2 linked regions of the Sus scrofa genome follow. The protein of the gene in region 2 interacts with the protein of the main gene of each other region in a biochemical or structural test. Links are inferred from orthologs where the notes say so. Each region holds a gene or a part of one and is shown on either strand. Other genes may lie near its edges.

Region 1 (4,591 bases), on a different chromosome or scaffold from region 2:
AGGAAACGAAGGGAACCTGAGGTCCCTCTTCCAGGCTTGGGGTCCACAGCTTTAGAACCCAGGCTGGGGTGGAGGGAGGGGCCTGGAAGGCTTCGGGGAGAGAGGGGGCAAAGGCTAGAATGGGGCGGGAGTTGGGGGTGGTATAGTTTGGGCTGGCGAGGGGACAGTGGCCACAGCTGGGCCAGGGTCTCAGTGTGGCCACTTTGGGTAGAGCAGGGGCAACCGTTGCAGCAGGAGACAGTACAGGCCAGGAAAGGCATGAGATGGGCTGGGGAGAAAGGGTCCCCATGTGGCCAGGTAGGGGCACAGCCTGCTCAGGGTCAGGATAGGCTGGCCAAAGGTCAGGGTTGGGTGGGAGGACTCTATTCTGAGCCCATAGTGCCTGAGCTCTGTGACTTGCTGATGAATGAATGCATGAGGGGCTAGAAACAGGTGCCCACCTGGACACCCATTAGGTGGACAGCAGAGCTGGGACATTCACTCTGGTTCTCCATGGCCACCTGGTCCCCTGTCTAGCAGAGGCTGCTGATTTCACTCTTGCTGCACCCCCACTTGCAGCAGTTGCTGGAGAGGCCAGCCAGGACATCACGACTGCCCCTAAGAGCCCCAGGGGTTCTCTGCCAGCCTGGTTGAACCCCATAGAAGGTCTCAGGGGACTTGGTCAGGGCCAGCCATTCGCTGGAGGCCATTGCCTCGTCCAACTCGCTGTCTGCGTTGGAATCTGTGTCTGAGAAGACATCCCCTGCAAAAAGATGAAAAGAGTGAGTGCTTGGGATTCAGCTCAGGCCACACTCAGAGTTCTGGCTCCTGGCTGGTCCAGCCACTTCTCTGTTCTTGTGACTCAGCCTGTTAGTTAAAGATTTTTTTGTTTTTGTTTGTTTGTTGTCTTTTTAGAGCCACATCTAAAAAGAAAAAAAATTGTGGCCAATGACATGGCCCCGTGGGACAAGGACAGGTGCAGCTGGGCCCCTGGCAGTGTCCTGGAGGCTCCTAGCAGCCTTGGGGTCCTCAGGGAGGACTGGGGGGTGGGGGAACACAGGGCTTAGGACAGTGACTCTTTTTTTTTTTTTTTTTTAGGGCAGCACCTGTGGCATATGGAAGTTCCCAGGCTAGGAGTCAAATTGGAGCTGCAGCTGCCAGCCTAGGCTGCATCCACAGCAACTCCAGATCCGAGCTGCGTTTGCAACCTATACAACAACTCATGGCAACACTGGATCCCCAACCCACTGAACAGGGCCAGGGGTTGAACCCTAATCTTCACGGATACTAGTTGGGTTCATTATCACTGAGCCACAAGGGGAACTCCCAGTTAAAGATTTTGATGCCACTGGTACCTGGGTTCCAGCTTTGATGGGCAGCTTACTCGACCTCACTGAGCTTGGCTTTCTGCTTCAATCATTTTCTTTCCCCTACTATTTATTTGTGGAGGACCTGATGGTTAAGAACATGTGTTTGGGAGTTCCCGTCGTGGCACAGTGGTTAGCAAATCTGACTAGGAACTGGGAGGTTGTGGGTTCGATCCCTGGCCTTGCTCAGAGGGTTAAGGATCCAGCGTTGCTGTGAGCTGTGGTGTAGGTCGAAGATGTGGCCCGGATCCCAAGTTGCTGTGGCTGTGGTGTAAGCCAGTGGCTGTAGCTCAGATTAGACCCCCAGCCTGGGAACCTCTATATGCCGCAGGAAGCAAACCCTAGAAAAGGCAAAAAAAAAAAAAAAACATGTGTTTGAGAGCTGAACTGACTAAGCACCAATCCAGCCTCTCTGAGTGATAACCCTGAGCAAGTGAATTTACTTCTCTGAGCTTAAGTTACCTTGTCTGCAAAGTGAGGATAATAATAACTCTTATCTTCTAGGATCTCGTACCCAGTAGAAGACTCAATACCCATTAAAAACAAAAACAAAAACAAAAACAAAAACAAAAAAAACGGAGTTCCCATCGTGGCACAGTAATTAACGAATCTGACTAGGAACCATGAGGTTGAGGGTTCAATCCCTGGCCATGCTCAGTGCGTTAAGGATCTGGAATTGCTGTGAGCTGTGGTGCAGGTCGCAGACACAACTGGGATCCTTCGTTGCTGTGGCTCTGGCATAGGCCAGCGGCTACAGCTCTGATTAGACCCCTAGCCTGGGATCTTCCATATGCTGTGGGAGCGGCCCTAGAAAAGGCAAAAAAACCCCAAAAACAAACAAACAAAAAAACACTTAAAACAGTGTCTGGCACATGGTAAGCACTCAACTGTATGCTACTCTGTCTTGCCTCACTTTTGCCACTTAACACCTGCAGGATACAGGGCCTGTGCTCCTATTTGCTGTTAAAGAGGATCAGGGAGGGAAAGCAAGTTGGTAGGAGGGTCACCTACTAGGTGGCAAATCTAGCCTTGGATTCATCACATCCCTCACACTACCTTCCCCAAAGGGTTGGAAAGCACTTTAGTTTCCGCTTCTGAACGGCACATACCAGGGTTTTGCAAACAGCAGCCTTGCCTAATGCAGGGCTCACACATAGCAGGTGTTCCAGAAAGAGTAGCCTGTTCTCTGACTTTTAGCTAGGGTGAATGGCTTGCTGTCCCCACACACACACCACCCCATCCCAGCTCCTCTGCTCTGCTAATTGGCTCCTCCAGCCTTGGCACAGCTTTGAGGGCTTGGCTGTCTCCCCAGTTGCATGTGGAGGGAAGGGACTCTCTTGCTCTTCATCTCACCTCCCTTCCTGGCTCCTCGGACCCTTGTCCTGTCTCGTCCACCCCCCTTCCCCACACACATTACCTCCCCAGCCTCACCCAGAGCTTCATGGGCCAGCATGTCCGACCGTCTCCACCGGGAGCCCCCGCAGGTAAAGATGACCGCTCGGATGAATTCACGGCCGCAAAGCTTCACTCCATAGGGTGACGCCCGGGCCTCAGTCCTCAGCCACAGCTCCCCAGCCAGCACCCATACGGCCAGCAGCAGCAGCAGCAGTGGACGTTTGGCCATTCTGGACGGGCTGCCTGAGATGTGAGAGTGGACGCAGCAAGGCAGCTTTCTGATGGTTGGTGCCTCCTGGACCCCCATTTATACATCTTAGCTCCCCCCACCCACCATGGAAGAGCCAAGTGACCTCCTTTATCTCCTCCTGCAGAGGGAAGGCGGCACAGCACCCACCCCACCCCGACCTTTTCCATCTCCCAGACCAAGCGATAACCTTTCGCCAAGGATGGGGTGACGTGGTCCAGCACACTGTCATTTTCAACAGAGAGAGGCGAGAAGGTCTCCATTCAGCAGAGACCAGGAACCCAGACCCCCATCAGACCAGAAGAGGGGTCACAGCCAGCCCCCCATCACCACCATACTGCTAGGGTCCCAGGGCCTCCTCTATAGTGACAACAACAGTAAGTGCTTACGCAGTATGCACTGTGGGAACTTCAACCTATGCCACAACTTGTGGCAAAGCCAGATCCTTAACCCATTGAGCAAGGCCAGAGGCCAACTTGAATTGGAGGGCTTGTTAAAACACAGATCTCAGGAGTTCCCTGGTGGTTCAGTGGGTTAAGGATCTGGCATTGTCATTGCTGTGATTTGGATTCGATCCCTGGCCCAGGAACTTCCACATGCTATGGGTGAAGCCAAAAATAAACAGAAACAAAAACAAACCATAGATTGTTGGGCTCTGACTGCAGAGTGTCTGAGGATCTGCCTTTGTGACAAGTTTCCAGGCCATTCTGATGCTGCTGGTCCAGAAACCACACTTCTGAGAGCCACTGGACTATGAAATCAAGACTAAGATTAAATCCATGTTACAGATGGGGAAACAGAACAGTGACACAAGGTGCTCAAGATCAGCTGGTAAGTGGAGGTGGGAGTTGGGGTTAACAGAACCTCTGGCTCCAGAATCCACACTCCAAGCGAAAGTTTTTAAGGATTAAAGAAAAAAAATGTTTTGGGGACAGAGCTTCAGTTTTGCAAGATGAAAAGGGTTCTGGAGGTAGATGGTAGTGAAGGTGGAACAATGGTGTGAATGGACTTCATGCCACTGGATTGGAAGCTTAAAATGGTTAAATGGTACATTTTATACTATGCATTTGTTACCTTTTTTTTTTCTTACCACCCTGAGGCATATGGGGTTCCCAAGCCAGGAATCAGATCTGAGCCGCAGTTGTGACCTGTGCTGCAGCTGCAGCAACACCAAATCCTTAACCCACTGCACCTGGCCAGGGATTGAACCTACGTCCTAGTGCTACAGAGACACTGCCGATCCTGTTGCTCCACTATGGGAACACCTATTATCACCATTTATTTATTTATTATTATTATTATTATTTTATTTATTGTTTGTTTGTTTGCCTTTTCTTGAGCTGCTCCCGCGGCATATGGAAAATCCCAGGCTAAGGGTCTAATAGGAGCTGTAGCCACCAGCCTACGCCAGAGCCACAGCAACGCAGGATCCAGGCTCACAGCTCACAGCAACACCGGACCTTTAACCCACTGAGCAAGGGCAGGGACTGAACCCGCAACCTCATGGTTCCTAGTCGGATTCGTTAACCACTGCGCCCCGACGGGAACTCCTATTATTATTATTATTATTTTTGTCTTTTCTAGGGCTGCACCCAAGGCATAT
Region 2 (4,452 bases):
GACAGCTGTTGGAGTGCGCCAGGCACACGCTCACAGGGAATGCGTATACCTGGCACAAGAAGTACTCTTGGCTGAAGGGCACCACGTTGAACTTGATGAGGATGCTCCAGGTGGTGAGCGCCTGGTTGGGCAGCCAACACAGGAAGAAGGATAGGACCACGATGGTCACTGATTTGGTGACCTTGGAGCGTCTTCGGGCGCTGGCTCCGGCCAGGCCTCCCCCAGCTGCTGAGGCACTTCCTTCGGTCCCAGCCACGCAATGGTCGGAGATGAAGCGCACCAGCAGCAGATAGCACAGGCTGATGACGCCCAGTGGCAGCAGGAAGCCCAGCAGCACCTTCTGCAAGTGGTAAAGGCCCAGCCAGAACTGCCTGTCGCGCCCCAGCAACTTGTCTGGGAAGCGCACCAAGCACAGCTCCTCGCCCATCACCTTGATGGTGGTGGAGAAGATGGCGTTGGGCAGCGAGGCCAGCGTGGCCGCGGCCCAGATCAACACACACAGAACTTTGGCTGAGAAGCAGCAGCTGTCCCCCAGGCTTCGGCCGCAGCAGTCACCCCGGCCGTGCCCTTGGGTCCGGTGACTCTTAAGAGCCGAGGCCACCGAGTGGTAGCGCGCCACGCTCATGGAGGTGAGGAAGAAGACGCTGGCGTACATGTTCATGGACGTCACTACGGATACGATCTTACACATGGCCTTGCCAAAGGGCCATTTGAAGTCGAGGGCGTTTTCCACCGCCCAGAAGGGCAGGGTGAGCACAAACTGAAAGTCTGTCAGCGCCAGGTTGGTGACGAAGAGGTTGATGGAGGACTTGCGCCAGCCCTGCTTACTCTTCATCAGGTAGAGCACCAGCAGGTTGCCCGTCAGCCCCAAGGCGCAGACTACCCAGTACACCACGCTGATGAGAATCCGCACCCGAGCCTCGGTGTCCGCGGTCTCTGCCCCGCCGCCGCCCGGGGGGTGCCCTGGCGCCGCGCCGTCCGGCAACTCCAGCCCCAGCTCCCACAGCAAGTCCTGGAGCTGCAGAGACGCGTTGCCGCTGGTGTTGGCCGCCTGCAGAAGGTCCGGGATCAGACTGAAGAGTTCTGCAAGCTCGTCCCCGCCAGCCGCCTTGTTCATAGTGGCTATTGCGACTGCAGTGGCCACCTGCCTGCGCAGGTGCCTCTAGGTCGTATTTCAGGGATAGGACCTAAGGGAAACCAACTCTCGCGGGGTCCCGGCGTGCGTTGAGGCTTTTAACGCAGCCGCGGAACAGAGCGCCTAGAAACTGGGCTCCAGGCGCGTTCTCGGCGCGCGGAGCTTGGCCTTGGGAGCGGGAGCTGCGCTCAGCGTCTGTGCGGGAGCGGAATTCGAGAGCAGAGGAGCAGAGTTCTTAAGGCAAGCAGTCGGCGTCCAGCCAAGGTTGGCGTCTCCGGGTCCCTACTGTAAAACTCAGACTTTCCTCCTTGCGTTTTCCGCTGTCACTTAGGCACGAGCGCATCCCACCCCGCCGCTCGAGAAGGCTATTGAGGGCCCGCCCCTTGCCTTTCAAATACCTTTGTCGATTTCCTCCGCAGCTGCTTAGATGAGGTTTCTGAAGAGAGTTTCGTCTACCTGGCTCTGACTCTCTGGAGGTCTTTCTATGCTGCCCTCTCTGCCTCGTGTCTCGGTCCCTCCGCTGTTGTCAACTCCCAGTGACTTGTCAGCGGCGTTCCCGCGAGTTATATCCCCACTCGCAGAGCCCAGGCTGCGGACTCCCAAGGAGCATGCGTCATCCCCAGCACAGCCAGAAGGGGCGCTTTCCGAGGTGCTGAACTTCGCCGCGTCCGCCGCGGGGGAGGGGGGTGGTGTTGCATAGCAGGCAAAGCACAGCTGCCAATTTCCCTTTTCCTCTTCAGTTTCGAAAGGAAATGGTCATAACCCTTTACTTACCTATGTGACTGAAGAAAGTCTGCTTTGATTTGCGATCGCTTTTATTGCCAAACAGAGCAAGCAGAATTCTTTCTTTCTCACTCCCAAATGCACGCTCTTCTGCCCATTTTTCTCTTTTAAAAACGAAGATAGTGGCTTCTTTTCATACCCAGACCTTAAATCAGATCGTGGGCTCTTGTTGAATACACAAACGCCAGCCCCACTTCCCCTTATTAATTAGCTGATCACTTTAATCGGTGCCTGGGATTGTCAGGATTTTCAAAGCGTCTTCACATAACAGAACTCTGGGTTCAGGTGTTGCCCTCTGCCTAGATGTATTCTGAGAACTGAAGCTAAGCAGAGCGTATAGTCGGTGCACCAACCTCACAGACAAGAGATGGTTAGCTCTCAGCCCAGAGTTCTTCAACCTACTGCTTACTCACCACCACACTCTCTTTACCTTGATGCAGTTGGAATAGAGAATTTCATAGGGCTGTCTTTGGACCACCAGCCCCTTATTTCCAACACTATTATAATCAAAACTCTTTAACAGGTGTTTTTTGTTTGTTTGGTTGGTTTAGACCAATGAAGTAAATTCCAAGGAATCTTTTTAGTTCCTTTGGGCAAGGGGAGCTAATATAAACCATTTGAATTACTTATTAAATTGCAGTTTATTTAAGTGCCAGATCAACTGCTCTGGTGTAACATGTACACTTCTTAGGATGAACTCAAGAAATTTGAAATGTTCTCCTCACTGTCTGAGACGTATTAAATTGCAGTTTATTTAAGTGCCAGATCAACTGCTCTGGTGTAACATGTACACTTCTTAGGATGAACTCAAGAAATTTGAAATGTTCTCCTCACTGTCTGAGACGAAACTGTAACAAGAGTATCTTAAGCATAATTGTCCTCATTCCTGCAGAACTGGGAACTCTACCTAGAGAGATAAAGAGATTATGACTTTAAGGCATAAGAGAGAAAAAACCATAGTGAAAAAGAAACGTGGTACCCAAAACATATGAAGGGAAATGGAAACAATCTTAATTCTTTTTTATGTGTTTATTTTTATTTTTTATGTTTTGAATAATTTTTGTAAAAATTTATTATAGTTGATTTACAATGTTCTGTCAATTTCTGCTATACAGAAAAGTGACCCAGTCTCACACACACACATATACATACATAGATGTATACACATTCTTTTTCTCATATTATCTTCTATCATGCTCTATCACAAATGAACAATCTTAATTCTTAAATGAGAACACAGTTCCAGAGAACACACTTCACTGTAGTCTCTGGACTGCTCCGCTTGCCCGCTGGAGGGCGCCAGGGCTTTAATAAAAACGAAAACCAAACCAAACCACAGCCCTCCTGCAGTTCTAATCTGGAGAAGCTCAGCCTTGCTCTGAACCATTACATAGGTTGCGAACCCCATTACATAGGTTGTGAACCCCATTCCCATAGTAGTCTCATCTTCAAGCTCACTCCTCACTCCGGTTTTTGCTAGCTCTTTCTCAAACAATTTTTTTTTTTTTAATCTCTCCTTTAGTTAAAAAAATGTCAAGGTTTTTTCCTTGAAAAACAAGGAAGTCTAGGGCACACATGGAAAGCCCTTTGCCTCATTTTCTTTGTGCGTACATGGGAGGAATTGTGATTTTCAAATAGTCTGAGGATAGGTGCTGAGCAGGTGGGGAGCTTGCTGAAATATAATTTGCAGCTCTCTTCCCAGCCCCATGCAACTGCAGAGGTTCTGCTTCTCAGTGGAGTTGAAAGGGGCCCAACAATCTACATTGTAGCAACCCTCTTCCAGATGATACCAATTTTCTCCCAAGTTTGGGAATTTCTGGGTTAACTTTTATTCCTTTCCTAACTCTCCACGTGAAATAACTTAAGTCCCAAAGAAGAATCAATGTCCCATGATGGTCAATTACACAGTAAGATCGGAAGCAAAGGAAGAGAAAGAGGTCTTGCTGAGTTTTTTTAAAATCACATCTAGGCCTGACAGTGACATCTTCACTGTAGGATGGACTCCTACAATGTGCTCCTGAGGTCTCCCAGGCCTTGAGTTCTTGGCCAGCAAGACTCACAGTGAGACCCCAGGAGAGGCTGTTCCCAAGAGTGACGCCCAGAGAACACTTTCGGAGTGCTTCCGAGCCTCGAATGCTCTTCATTTCCCAATCTGTTGTCTGAAAATCAACTGCAGATCCTGTGCAGGAATGTATAGTATCGCTCAACTAAGCCTGTCTTATTGAAGCAAAAAATCCTTTTTCAAAAAATTCTTTTCCCACATGACCTAAAGATATTTTACTCGTTTACCTTAAAGCATGGACCGTGTTTTTCTAAAACAGCATCTAAAAGATTCAGAGGGAGAAGCATATTAGTCCCAGCCAAATTTCATTTAAGTCTACTGTTAAAACATTGCTAAAATCTTACCATATAAATTCCTAATGGAAAATCTGGAAAATTGACAATGTTGTCCACTTATATGTGGATCCCTAAGGATCTACCTTATGGAAAAATTAAAAGAGGGGCTTTCTTAGTTGTCTGGTTTTAAACCAGCC

Evidence for each region.
Region 1: the proteins of RXFP3 (region 2) and RLN3 form a complex in vitro, tested with the Homo sapiens proteins (2 studies listed by BioGRID, with this or other methods). The link is inferred for Sus scrofa from reciprocal best matches to the Homo sapiens genes RXFP3 and RLN3.

Annotation. Positions count from the first base shown.
Region 1 is NC_010444.4:65,149,967-65,154,557, forward strand, and holds RLN3 (relaxin-3 precursor), read right to left. Parts: upstream 2,971-4,591; coding exon 2,778-2,970; intron 743-2,777; coding exon 513-742; downstream 1-512. UniProt on the Homo sapiens protein: May play a role in neuropeptide signaling processes. Ligand for LGR7, RXFP3 and RXFP4.
Region 2 is NC_010458.4:19,947,332-19,951,783, reverse strand, and holds the start of RXFP3 (relaxin-3 receptor 1), read right to left. Parts: upstream 2,889-4,452; 5' UTR 1,118-2,888; coding exon 1-1,117. UniProt on the Homo sapiens protein: Receptor for RNL3/relaxin-3. Binding of the ligand inhibit cAMP accumulation.